4 linked regions of the Saccharomyces cerevisiae S288C genome follow. The gene in region 2 interacts genetically with the main gene of each other region. Each region holds a gene or a part of one and is shown on either strand. Other genes may lie near its edges. The genes, in order: CYT2, YNL190W, MNT2 and YGR050C.

Evidence for each region.
Region 1: mutations in YNL190W (region 2) and CYT2 together harm fitness more than expected from each alone (negative genetic interaction), as found in Saccharomyces cerevisiae (one large-scale study listed by BioGRID).
Region 3: mutations in YNL190W (region 2) and MNT2 together harm fitness more than expected from each alone (negative genetic interaction), as found in Saccharomyces cerevisiae (one large-scale study listed by BioGRID).
Region 4: mutations in YNL190W (region 2) and YGR050C together harm fitness more than expected from each alone (negative genetic interaction), as found in Saccharomyces cerevisiae (one large-scale study listed by BioGRID).

Annotation. Positions count from the first base shown.
Region 1 is NC_001143.9:276,594-279,600, reverse strand, and holds CYT2 (cytochrome c1 heme lyase CYT2), read left to right. Parts: upstream 1-1,737; coding exon 1,738-2,412; downstream 2,413-3,007. Other genes in the region: malate dehydrogenase MDH1, read right to left, coding at 1-478; SRX1 (sulfiredoxin), read right to left, coding at 937-1,320; phosphopantothenoylcysteine decarboxylase complex subunit CAB3, read right to left, coding at 2,603-3,007.
Region 2 is NC_001146.8:280,591-283,509, reverse strand, and holds YNL190W (uncharacterized protein), read right to left. Parts: upstream 1,116-2,919; coding exon 501-1,115; downstream 1-500. Other genes in the region: glutamine amidotransferase subunit DUG3, read right to left, coding at 2,005-2,919. UniProt on the Saccharomyces cerevisiae protein: Hydrophilin which is essential to overcome the simple stress of the desiccation-rehydration process.
Region 3 is NC_001139.9:11,908-15,750, reverse strand, and holds MNT2 (alpha-1,3-mannosyltransferase MNT2), read left to right. Parts: upstream 1-1,593; coding exon 1,594-3,270; downstream 3,271-3,843. Other genes in the region: alcohol dehydrogenase ADH4, read right to left, coding at 1-592. UniProt on the Saccharomyces cerevisiae protein: Mannosyltransferase involved in adding the 4th and 5th mannose residues of O-linked glycans.
Region 4 is NC_001139.9:591,570-594,142, reverse strand, and holds YGR050C (uncharacterized protein), read left to right. Parts: upstream 1-1,700; coding exon 1,701-2,057; downstream 2,058-2,573. Other genes in the region: protein kinase FMP48, read right to left, coding at 1-547; SCM4 (Scm4p), read right to left, coding at 2,266-2,573.

The sequences.
Region 1 (3,007 bases), on a different chromosome or scaffold from region 2:
TCTTTGGGTTGTAAACACCCTTGTTTTTCAAGACTTGGGCGACAATTGGAACGGTAGAATTGACTGGGTTGGAAATGACCAGAATGGCAGCATTGGGAGCGGATTCGGCGGTTGCTGCTGCCAAATCGCGAACGATGCTTGCGTTGATGGCGAACAAGTCATCACGTGTCATACCAGGCTTTCTGGGCACACCAGCAGGAATTAAAACCATGTCTGTGTCCTTTAAAGCGTTGTTCAATCCGTCTGGCTCTTCTGGAGTAAACCCCTTGACCACGGAGTTTGTTGGAATATGAGACAAATCGGTGGCAACACCTTTTGCGCCCTTTAGGTCGTACAGTCTTAAGTCCGTGACTTTATGGTTAAGCTTTAGAAGCAAAGACAATGGTTGTCCAATACCACCGCCTGCACCCAAAACAGTCACTTTATAAGGGTTGGCAACTGTAGAGGAAAACGCACGTTTAGCTACTCTTGACAACATTGTATATGGTATCCTTCCTTTTCCTTTTGTTTTTTTTCTTCCTTTCCGTAGATGTCCACGTATAATATATTGTATATCTATATGTGTATTCGTTATCTTAAGTGGAGGAATACAGTACAAACACCCAATGCGTGCTAACACTTCTTTTTAAAGCGCAAGCTATATATATTGTAATATCCGCCATTGTATTATGGCAACTTTTTTTTGTATTTTTCTGGGAATCCGCTTGGCGCGTGATTGAGCCAATGAACGCTGAGTGAATGCCGAGAAGGGGGGGAGAAGCTGGCAGGAAGGCCCAACCGCCAGGTCCCTTGTACCTCTCCGGCGCCGAGGGTCGCACAAACTGCTAGTGCCTACTCTAGTTGTTGAATAAGAAATTGATTAATTAAATTGAGGGATTTTGTATTAGTGAATTATAATTTATCTATGTTTCTTATGTAGTGTTATTAGCGTAATCATTATTCGATGTCGAGACTGCTGCCCAGGTACATGCGGATTTGGCGGGGAGTGGCCGGTAGCACCCTGCAGCGCACGGGGAAGGCGGCGTTCTGCGTTTCGCGAGCCCGGCGGTCGTATGCCTGTAGACGGTGGCAGCCGCCGAAGGCATAATATAGCGTCTGTCCCTTGACTCGCACGCCCAGCACGTCCACGGGCGGCAGTTCCCCGGCTGAGGCAGCCGCCTCAGCCTGTTCTAGAGAGCATGTCTTGCTAGCGGTGGGAATGCCCTTCATTGTGGCCACCATTGCGTCGATCTTTTGAGGATCCAACACAGGCGCTAGGGGGCGTCTGATCTCTGAGAGAGGAATTTCTGTTGGTTTTACACTGTTGCTTTGTAGTGACATATTGTTCTTTTTTTACTTGGTTTTGTAGTTTTTTTTTTCAGTAAGAAAAGTATATATAGCTCATTGATGGTAGATATTGTGGTTTATATACAACACCTCTTGACATGTATTGCATCGCATCCTTACCCAACAGGGCTACTGTAATGACTAAAAATAATGGCGACTTCTGGGCCGGCCTTCTAAAAAAAAGGGACCCGCAACGGGTAACGGCATATTTTTTTCGAAATCAAAGTTCCAGCTTTTCGATGTTTGTAAGCCTTCTAAGACAGAAAGATGTAGTATAAATGATGTAGCTTACTAATCAGGGAAAAAGCAATCGCTAGTATTGCAGAGGCCAAAGGCTTAAGCATCACATTTCGGTAGTAGTAAATAGTTTGTTAGTTCACGTGCTTTTCATTCGTCTCTATTTTACATATTATGATGTCTTCAGACCAACAGGGGAAATGCCCCGTAGATGAGGAAACCAAAAAGTTATGGCTACGAGAACATGGCAACGAAGCGCATCCTGGTGCTACTGCCCCAGGCAATCAACTAGAGTGCTCTGCAAACCCACAAGATAACGATAAAACGCCTGAATATCACACCACGGTGGATCTCTCTCAGTCCAGAGAGGTTTCCACCATACCAAGGACGAATTCTGACAGAAACTGGATATACCCGTCGGAGAAACAATTTTACGAGGCAATGATGAAAAAAAATTGGGATCCGAACTCAGATGACATGAAGGTGGTTGTGCCTTTACATAACTCCATCAATGAGCGGGTTTGGAACTACATTAAAAGCTGGGAAGACAAGCAGGGTGGTGAAGCGTGTGGCGGTATCAAATTAACAAATTTTAAAGGTGATTCCAAAAAACTGACACCAAGGGCCTGGTTCAGGTCCCGTATCTTGCACCTGGCCAAACCTTTTGATAGACATGATTGGCAGATAGATAGATGCGGTAAAACCGTCGACTACGTAATCGATTTCTATTCCACCGATCTGAACGATGCAAACTCGCAGCAACAACCACTTATTTATCTCGATGTTAGACCAAAATTAAACAGTTTTGAGGGCTTTAGATTACGGTTCTGGAAATCTTTAGGCTTTTGAATTACTACAACTATTCCTGTAAATAAAAACATACCCTCCCTAGTTTCCACATACATATTTATTTAATCTTATTTAGGCACTCAATTTAGAAACTAGGGAATGAAAAAGCAGTAATCTTCTTTTAAGGAATAAACAAAAAAAAAAAAAATAAAACATAAAACATAACACAAAATACTCTTTTCTAATGCATTTAAACTTCGGTTTTCACGTCTTCCTCATCCTCTTCGTCTTCCTCGTCATTGCTCTCATCGGATGCTGTTTCATTTAGAGCTTCTTCCTCCTCCTCGTCCTCCTCATCCTCTTCGTCATCCTCATCATCGTCGTCCTCATTGTCAGCACCCTCTTGTTCTTCTTGTTCTTGCTCTTTATCACCAGTTTCCTCGTCCCTAGCTTTCCGTATTTCATTGATTCTCCTCCTAACGATCTCTACAATATCTGTCCATTCTCTCATACCACCCATACCAATATCTCCGCATATTAATACCTTTTCCACCGGTTTCAAAACTTGGATGAACGGATAGTCTTGCACTAAACTCGTCAGGTGTTTCTTTGTCATAGGATTGATATACATGAATGTATTCATTGCAGGCGCAAT
Region 2 (2,919 bases):
TAAAGGGTAATAAACACACAAAGTCATTAAAGAAAAAAAAATAGAAGAAAAAAGCACACTTTTTGTATAGCGTAGAAATAAGGAAAAAGAGAAAGCAAGACATTCACACACACAATTATCAAGCTCCGCTCTATTTTCCTTCCACATTCGATTGCTATAAAAAAGGAAAGGAAACCATGATTAAAAGTTGGATGATCTTTCTCTATCCTTACAAGTCAACGAAACACACACATTCATTTAACTCGTTGAAATAGGAAATAACACTTCTTTAAATCGTAGGTCCCAATTTCCTTTCTCCATTTTTTGTATAAAAAAAAGAGAAAAAGAACACAATCACAATAAATTTCACTTTTGCACAAGCACACGTAAACACATAGTAGTCGAAATAGTATAATAAAAAGAATTTACTACTTCAGGATGAAGGGGGTAGGGGGGGTAAAAAACATAAAACCGGAGAAAATTAGGTCTTCCTTTATTTCTCAAATCCAATTCAAAGCTTATTATAATAGTAATAAGGCACCGGCTACGGCAGCACTACCAGCGGTAACACCAAACAATTTTATGGAGTTGAAATTAGATGGACCAGGGGCGGCATTGTTCTTACGGGCCTTTTCACCAGGACCATAAGTGGTAGTGTCATGTTTGGTTTTGTTGAACTTACCATACTTGTGAGTACCGGTATGGTTTGGGGTCTTAGACTTGGAGGTCTTGTTGAACTTACCGTACTTGTGAGTACCAGTGTGGTTTGGAGTCTTGGATTTGGAGGTCTTGTTGAACTTACCGTACTTGTGAGTACCGGTATGGTTTGGAGTCTTGGACTTGGAAGTCTTGTTGAACTTACCATACTTGTGAGTACCGGTATGGTTTGGGGTCTTAGACTTGGAGGTCTTGTTGAACTTACCGTACTTGTGAGTACCAGTGTGGTTTGGGGTCTTGGACTTGGAAGTCTTGTTGAACTTACCATACTTGTGAGTGGTATGAGTAGAGGTGGTAGTAGTTAAACTACCGTCCGATGACAAAGTTAAAGTGGTAGTGAAATCATGTTCACCCTTCTTAGCAGTGGCAACGGTGGCAACGGTGGCTAGAGTAATAGCAGTAACAGAAGAGAACTTCATATTTCAATTATAAAGCGCTGGGTATTTGGGAAAGAAGGTCGAAAAAATAAATGTTCTTCCAAAAGTGTGTGAGTTAGAAGTAAAAAAAAAAGTGTTTAATGTGCAGCTAAATGCTTAAGTTACTCCTTAAAGGAAAATTCTTTATTCAAAAAAGAAAAAAGAGAAAGAAACAAAGTAATAGAAGCTTGGTTTTCTTGTAGTCAGATTATCTTAAGCTCACTCGTTTAAGTTAAACCAGATAGACTGTTTCTAAATAACAAAACAAAATAAAACAGAAGTCTTTATTACATTCAAGAACAAACTACACTATATAAAGTAATCAGCGAAACGAAAATTACGCACAACACACACACCTAATAAAAGACGAGAGAAGTGAGCACTAATTGGTAAAAGAAACTTAACAACATATATATAGTAAAGATAACAAATACAGTACACAAACAAACGAATTGAGAAATTGTCTCGTTTCAGCAACAGCCACTGACGTACGGGAGCGCATTTTTTTTTTTTCACCGGCCAAAATCCCGGTCATCGTGGTAAGAAACACTCGAACAAGACGATACAAAAAATATCGCATCGCTGTTTTTCACGTATTTTTTTTCTTTAGTCCCCTTGTAGGACCCACCGGATATTTGTAAATTTCCGCTTCCGGAAGTGATTGCCCGGATATCAATTGGATGAATGGGTTCAAATGAACATTTATTACCCGGAAGGTTGTCATAGACACCAGGCGGGTACCTTCTCATTTCGAGGATTAGACGCCATATGGACTAACCAACCAAATACTTATGAAATTATGATGTTGGGGTTGTTGTTATGTGTCGATGCTTCTTATTTGTTTATATGTATATCTAGTAGTGACAATGGTACAATCCTCTAGAGCGTGTGCTCATGCTATATGTGCGACAGCGGTTGGAGGTCTCGTACGGCCCTCTCTTTCTAGTGGAGGAACGTTCTTTTCTACGGCTTTTGCTAGTGGTATAGAACCCATGAGCCCCTTGCTTTCTGCGAGGGTTGAACTTCTTAGGTATAACGGATCTTCTTGGTAGTACTCATCGATAATAGGGTGTAGTAATATTGTCTGTTTCTTAATGGTCAATATGCTGTTGGTGGGTACTGCAGTCCAATCACCTCTCTCGAAAGTCAAAGGTTCCGATGCAACCATAATTACATCTTGGTTTCTATCCAACCTTTCTACCCTGTATTCTCCTGGTGAAGTTTCTACAAAGCTGGAACCACAACTGAAATGCAAAGATGCTGCCTCGTCCGTCTTTGAAGTTATATACCTGGAAACGACAACGGTGGATCCGTCAGTTACAGCAAAATTTAAGAGAGATGGCTCCACATGTGCCTCGTCCTTGTTCGCTTCTTTAGTCCAATCTCTGATGTAGTCAATCGTTCGTAACATTGCCTTTCTTAGTGCAACATTACCGAAATCGCCGTCCTGCTTCTTTGGGTCGTAACCCAATTTGTCTAAAGTGTCTAAGAATAATGCAAATGCGCACTCGGAGTCTGTGCTCCCTTGAATAAAATTCAGGTATTCGTCTTTGATATGATTCAATAATTTTCTCTTGATTCCTTTGAAATTAGATATACCGCCATTATGCATAAAACATAAGCTGTGGTATGTAAACGGATGGCAATTGGTCTCAGATAGGACACCATATGTAGAGGCTCTTACGTGCGCAAAGACCAGATCAGATTTAGTTTTTTCTGCTAATGTACTCAAATTTTGGTTGTTCCATGCAGGAGTAATAGCTTTGAAAAGGCATGGACCGTCCTCGCTTAACTCGGTATCCAATGG
Region 3 (3,843 bases), on a different chromosome or scaffold from region 2:
TCAAAGCATCTAGACCAGTAGCAGCAGTCAAAGCAGGTGGCAAACCAAACATGGTAGATGGATCGTTGACAGCAACAGCTGGAGTGACGTTGTTGTCAATGATAGCCATCTTGATTTTCTTTTCTTCATTAGAGATAATAGTGAATCTGGTCATTTCGGAAGCAGTACCAGCAGTAGTGTTGATGGCAAATAGTGGTAAAGCAGCCTTCTTAGATTGATTGACACCTTCATAGTCTCCGATTTCCCCACCGTTAGTAGCCAATAAAGCAATGGCCTTAGCATTGTCGTGAGCAGAACCACCACCAATGGAAACAACAATTTCAGAGTTTTGTTCCTTCAAAACCTTCAAACCAGCTGTGACATTGGCAATATTTGGGTTTGGTTGAGTTTTGTCATAGATAGCAACGTTTAAGTCACGTTCTTCCAACATCTTTTGGACTCTACCGGAGAGACCAATAGCTGCAATACCAGGATCAGTAACGATCAAAGCCTTTTTGTAATCCTTGTTTTTGATGTAATCAGCGGTTTCTTCTAAAGCACCTTCACCAAAGAAAGAGATTGGTGGAATGTAAAACCCAGTAACGGAAGACATTTTTCTTATTTGACTATTAGTTGTTGCAAATGTAAACTTGTTGTTGATGGTTGTTTTGCAATAGACAGAAGAAAAACGTTTGACTCCAGTCTTTAATAAACCAGAAATGCTAATAACCCTTTTATACATGTTGGTACGCTGCCCTTTTTTCCTGTTTGATAAAAGAATATATCCTAGTAGTGTGAGATATTTGAGGCAGCAAAATATCAATTGCTTTGTAGAGTTAACGGCATACGTGATCCCAAGCATCTGACATATTAAACACGTACCTCGTGATGCGCGAACTAAAAACTAGTTCTTTTTTTTTTTTTTCATAGCTAATCCACTGCGGTGATACTACAGCCATCATCACAAACACTGCTAACAGTTATAACCATGTCAACATCACACTACAAAAAATGGCCTCCTTGGAGAAAATAAAATGGAAGCTCATTGAAGGCCTCCGGGGATCCTTCTGAACACAAAACGCAATTTCAAATCAGCAGCCTCAATTATACTGGTTGCTTAACCGTGAAGGTTCATTTAAGTACTTCTACTTTTTACAAACGCTCGATAACCTTTCAAGTAGTGCGCATAACAGCTGATGCATTAGAAAAAAATTTTCACACGATAGAACTGTAACGCACTACGAAACTAAGCAATATGGCGTAAACACACAAAGACTAAGGGACTTCTTGATTGATTTCTATCAGCAGCGTTCTCCGAATTGTAAATAATAAGTACATTATTAGTGGGCCTTAGGCAACTCTTTGAAACGGAAATTCTTGTTTACATTTTTCATTTTCCCGAGACGAAGTTTTGATGAGCCACACAATACCGGTAAAGAAAGAAAGAAGTACCTGGAACTAAAACAGTGCTAATTCTTCTTTCCTTTACTTTAGGGGTGGGGACCATCGAAGTGGGGGGAGACAGCAAATCTCTCAATTGAGTAAAATATTCGCATGAGTGTTTGCAAATCCGCAGTGACAGGACAAAAGTAGCCCCAATAGTATTTATCGAATATGAGAAGAAAAAATCGACTGTTTATATTAGTTGTACTACTGGGAATTGTGTTAGTAGTATATTACTCTCAGTTGAATTCGTTAGATTTGGTAGAACCAGTTCAAAGTAGCAGCAGTGGCAATGGTGGCTGCTGGAGTTACTATGAAGGTCTTACGCCTGGGTGGTTGAATGACTTCTACGACGTAAATCAAATAACCCCGAATCCTGCAAAAGATGTGATTGAACTGGTTACGAGGATTAAGATTTTTTTTAATTGCTTGCAGCAGGTTGATGGGCATAATATTCAGCGTTTGAGGGATATTGAAAAGAAGCTCTTTCCGTATATTAACTTTGAAAAATTAGAAACTGATGAAAGTGCCTTCTGGCACACAACTACGAGATGGAATGGCGAGGTTTACCATGCGTCTATGTTGGAATTTGACCCCAAAAACCATCAATTCCTTCGTTCTAAGCCCATCAATTTCGATACAGGGCTATCTTTTTGGGAGAATTGGTTGCACACTGTGACTCAAAGTGGTTCGAAAGGCATAGTTATTAGTGCTTCTGACGTGCAGTTGAATGAAACCATACGCTTATTGAAAGTGTTGAGGTTCATCAAAAATGATTATCCTATACAGATTGTTCATAATGCAGATCTGAGTCAAGATTCCATGAAATCTATTATCAAATATGCGAGAAGTCTAGACACCGCTGAATATCCTGCTCAAGAATTATGGTTTTTAAATGTACATAGTCTGCTAAACCCGAAATATTCGAAAAAATTTACCACCTATTCCAACAAGTGGTTAGCATTGACCTTCTCATCCTTTGAAATTCCTATTCTAATGGACTCAGATACAGTGCCCTTTGTTTCAATAGAAAAATTTTATGAATTAGAGGAATTTCAAAAGACTGGAGTTCTATTCTTTAAAGATCGGGTAATATCAGATGATCTATTTGAATCCTCTGAATTAAAAATTCTAAGGGAAATTGTCTATGGGTGTATTGGGCTTGATTTAGAGGATGAATCCAAGATACATGAGCAAGTAGAGGATCCAGTGGTTGCACAGGTTCTGGAAAACATGTTTATAAAGAAATATAAACATCATTTGGAAAGCGGCCTGGTAATATTGCATAAAGGAAAGCATCTCTTCAGTATGCTTACTTCAATAGCTTTACAATTTTCTCCAATTGCAGAATATTTTCATGGTGATAAGGACTTTTTTTGGCTGGGCGAATTACTTTCGAACAATCGCTTTACGTTCCATCCTGTGGATGCATCAAACATTGGTCAGTTGGGCAATGTAGTTTCAAAAGAGAGTACCGGTGAGTTTTACCAGATTTGTTCTGTGCAACTATCTCATACAGACAGGGACGGGTCCTTGCTATGGCTAAACGGGGGCCTTAATATTTGTAAAAAAACTTCATGGGAATACGATTATGAGCATAGACAGAGACTAAATGATATGTTCCAAAATGCAGATGAATTACGTGAATATTATGCATCACCAGTAAAACTTGAAGGGATTATAATACCAGATACTAGTATATCAGGATGGATTAACTCAGGAGAGTGTTTTTTGTTCAATTATTGCACATTATTCAAGGAAGGTGAGTTTGGAAAGTTGATCAAATTTAAAGAAGACGAAAAGCTCCGGCTTTCACAAATAGTCGACATATGGAATAAAGATATTTGACCAAGAGTTGTTCTAGTCTTATAAGCAATAGGTAAACCTACACGCTTTTGTTGTATAATGTAGTATAATTTTTGATATCTGAAAAATTATCGCACTGAAGTATAACGTAATGTTTTGTAACGAAGTTACTCTTTAAGTAAATCACTCTTGGCATGCATTGGATAACATAGCCATGATGCAACGCCAGCAAAAATCCAAATTGATTGCAATAGGGAACTATGAAAAATCTGGTACTCCCGGCCACGCTAAAATGATTTTCCACTAAGGTGTTCCTAAAACCTTTCGGATCCTTTATGTCTCTGGCATCATAAATGTCTGTTTAAATTAAAGTATATTGAATTGGTGTTGAAATTCAGCATAATCGAACCACTCTCATGTGGGATGTAGCATCATTCTTAACGCTTTTACTATGCGATCGCCACTTTTAAATGTTGGAAATTGTGAATAATTTACTTTTATCTTGTAGGCAAACCGATCATATTCTGCAAAATTTTGAAAATCCATATCTAGATGCACTGTATTGCACTTTTATATTATAAAGAATTATATGTAATAAATCGACAATAAATAACG
Region 4 (2,573 bases), on a different chromosome or scaffold from region 2:
TACTAACGCGGCCAGAGAAAGTTTCTGGCGCCCTGTAATTATCGGTACCAATCTGGAAGTCGTTAGATTTAGGGGATTGGATAGCGTGACCCCAGTCTGCCAACTTGATGTCACCATTTATCGTTAGCAAAATATTTTCTGGTTTGATATCACGATGAGCAATACCCAAGCTGTGAGCAAAGCTGATTGCTGAGCACAGTTGTTTGATTATCTTTTGCATATCAATTTGAATCAAAGATGGAGACGACGGGCTACCTTGACTCTTAGCAATATCTAGAAAGTCATAAAGATCACCACATTCGCAGTATTCTAGCACCATGATGTAGTACGAGTCATCCGTGTAAAAGTCGAGCATCGAACAGATGTTGGGGTGAGGATTACAAGAACTCAAAATCTTCATTACATCATACTCGTTCTTCATGTTGGCTTCTGAAGTTTTGTATTTAGGAGTAATCTTTAAAGCGACGTAGCGGTTATGTGTAGTACTCCATGCTTTATAAACTGTGCTAAATGTTCCTGATTGTATAGATCTTAGTTTTGTATACATTTTTGCTTTTTATTATTCGGTATATGCTGATAATGATGTGCTTATTTAAATGATTGCGTATACGAGTGAGAATTTGATTCGGAGGGTATGAGAGTCGATCTTGAGTCCTATGTTATATGCTTTTTGTCAGTAACGGGTTATTTAATGCTAAGAATAGTTATTATAAAAGGGAAATTTTTTTGTATTAAGAATAGTCATCACTTACATGTGTATATTATATATATATATATATATGTATTGTACTCGTATTATTATTCTTTGGGGAAAGTATTAGTAGGTAGATGCAACTAAGCTCCGATTTTTCCAAAATTAAGTTGTCCCTTATTGCATGGTCCCCTTAATTATCCTTCCTTTATTGTATGTAACATGAAGCTGCATTTTTGTTCTCAGGCAGCATCATCGTTCCCTTCACCTAACCCTTCTAACTTCCTTTTACCTGTTGCAAGCTGTCTCATACCCGCGCTGAAAAGGCTGAGAACTGGGTATTGTCCCAATATTACGCTCGGCTTTTCTTTTCAAAAACTTTGTATTCCAGATACTTCCATGTGCAATTTCCCTAGTGCTCCCTGTACCAAGCCATCGGAGAGGAGATGCCTTCTAGAATTCAAAGCACGTAAGGGGTACAAAAATCGGAACGGGCCGAAGGCCGAAAAGAGACGGCCGTACGTGAGAGCACATGCAAAGTGGTGAACGGGACGTTACGGAGAATTACGGAACCTCTCAACAGAAGATGCGCCAATAGTCCTTCCGAACTAGCTCCACGGGAGGGGTATGAAGAGCAAGCTTGTTTACGCAGCCTCACCACCGCACCGAAAGACCCTCACGACAGAAATGGAGCGCCTTTAATGACGTTCGTCCGCTGCGGGCCAGAACAGCACAGTTTTGCTTCCCCGTTTCTTTTCCACTATTTCGTCACCCGCTCGAGGTGGCTCGCCCGCTCGGAGGCAAGCTGCACATTCATCGAACACGGAGAGGCACGGGCGAGAGAAAAAAAAGCCTATTGACCTAAACGGATGTCATAATGAAAAGAAGGAATCCGGTTTTCCTGGGCATGACTAAGGTAGCACGACTCAACTGGGCCAGATCGGTTGCTTCTTCCGATATACATGCATTAGATTAAGCCAAAGTAAAATCAAAAGAAAATTTAGCGGATATGAAAACCAATCTAATCTCCTCGTTTGCTTTCCGACCGCATGTAAGGTTCGGCTTTCTTGACTTCGGATATAGCTTAAAGTCGATTCTTGACGTCACTTCGCAATATCATTTCATTCCCATTAAACTGGCGTATGGACTTTGCGATCCTTTATTAATAGTTTATCCGGATCCCAGTTTTAGTTTGGCTCAAGCTGCAGGTGAAAAGAAAAAAGTCGTATTCCCTACGTATGAAGATGTTCCGAAACTACTGTTGACGTTTAAGCAGATTATGAATACGTATAGGAAGGGAAGTTTGGGACAGAGACAGAGACAGAGAGTGTACGGGCGAAATGGGAATGAATCACATTCTACGTAATTTGTCTTTGACTTTCTTAGAGATACGTATATAACTTTTTTTTCTGTGTGAAAAATAAATATTCTCTTATCCAATGTGGACAAGAGCCAAAAATACTCTGCTTTGTATATTTACTAGTTTTTTTGGCCTTTTTTTTCGCTAAACATATATATTAGTCTCGCTTAAATAATTGTGATGTTTGAAGGGAACGTGTCACGTGCTTCGTCGTTCATGCTTTGAATCCATCTAGGATACACTTACCAAAGGTAAAAATTGTTATACCGGTTACAATGCTCATGTGCAATGACATGTATGAGTGACATTTTACGCTTCTTTCGGATTCAGGTTTTAATGTTTTGGCGTTGTTCATCTTTGAGAATGGGCATGCAGCTTCCCCATCTTTGACTTCCGGGTGATGTTGGGGTAATTTTTCATCCTTTTGCTTTTCTAAATCATTTTGGTCACGTGTGCATTTTGGGGCTAGCTTGTGATTGAACAGTGATACTAAGTATAGGTAGGCTGCAGATAATGGGGCGA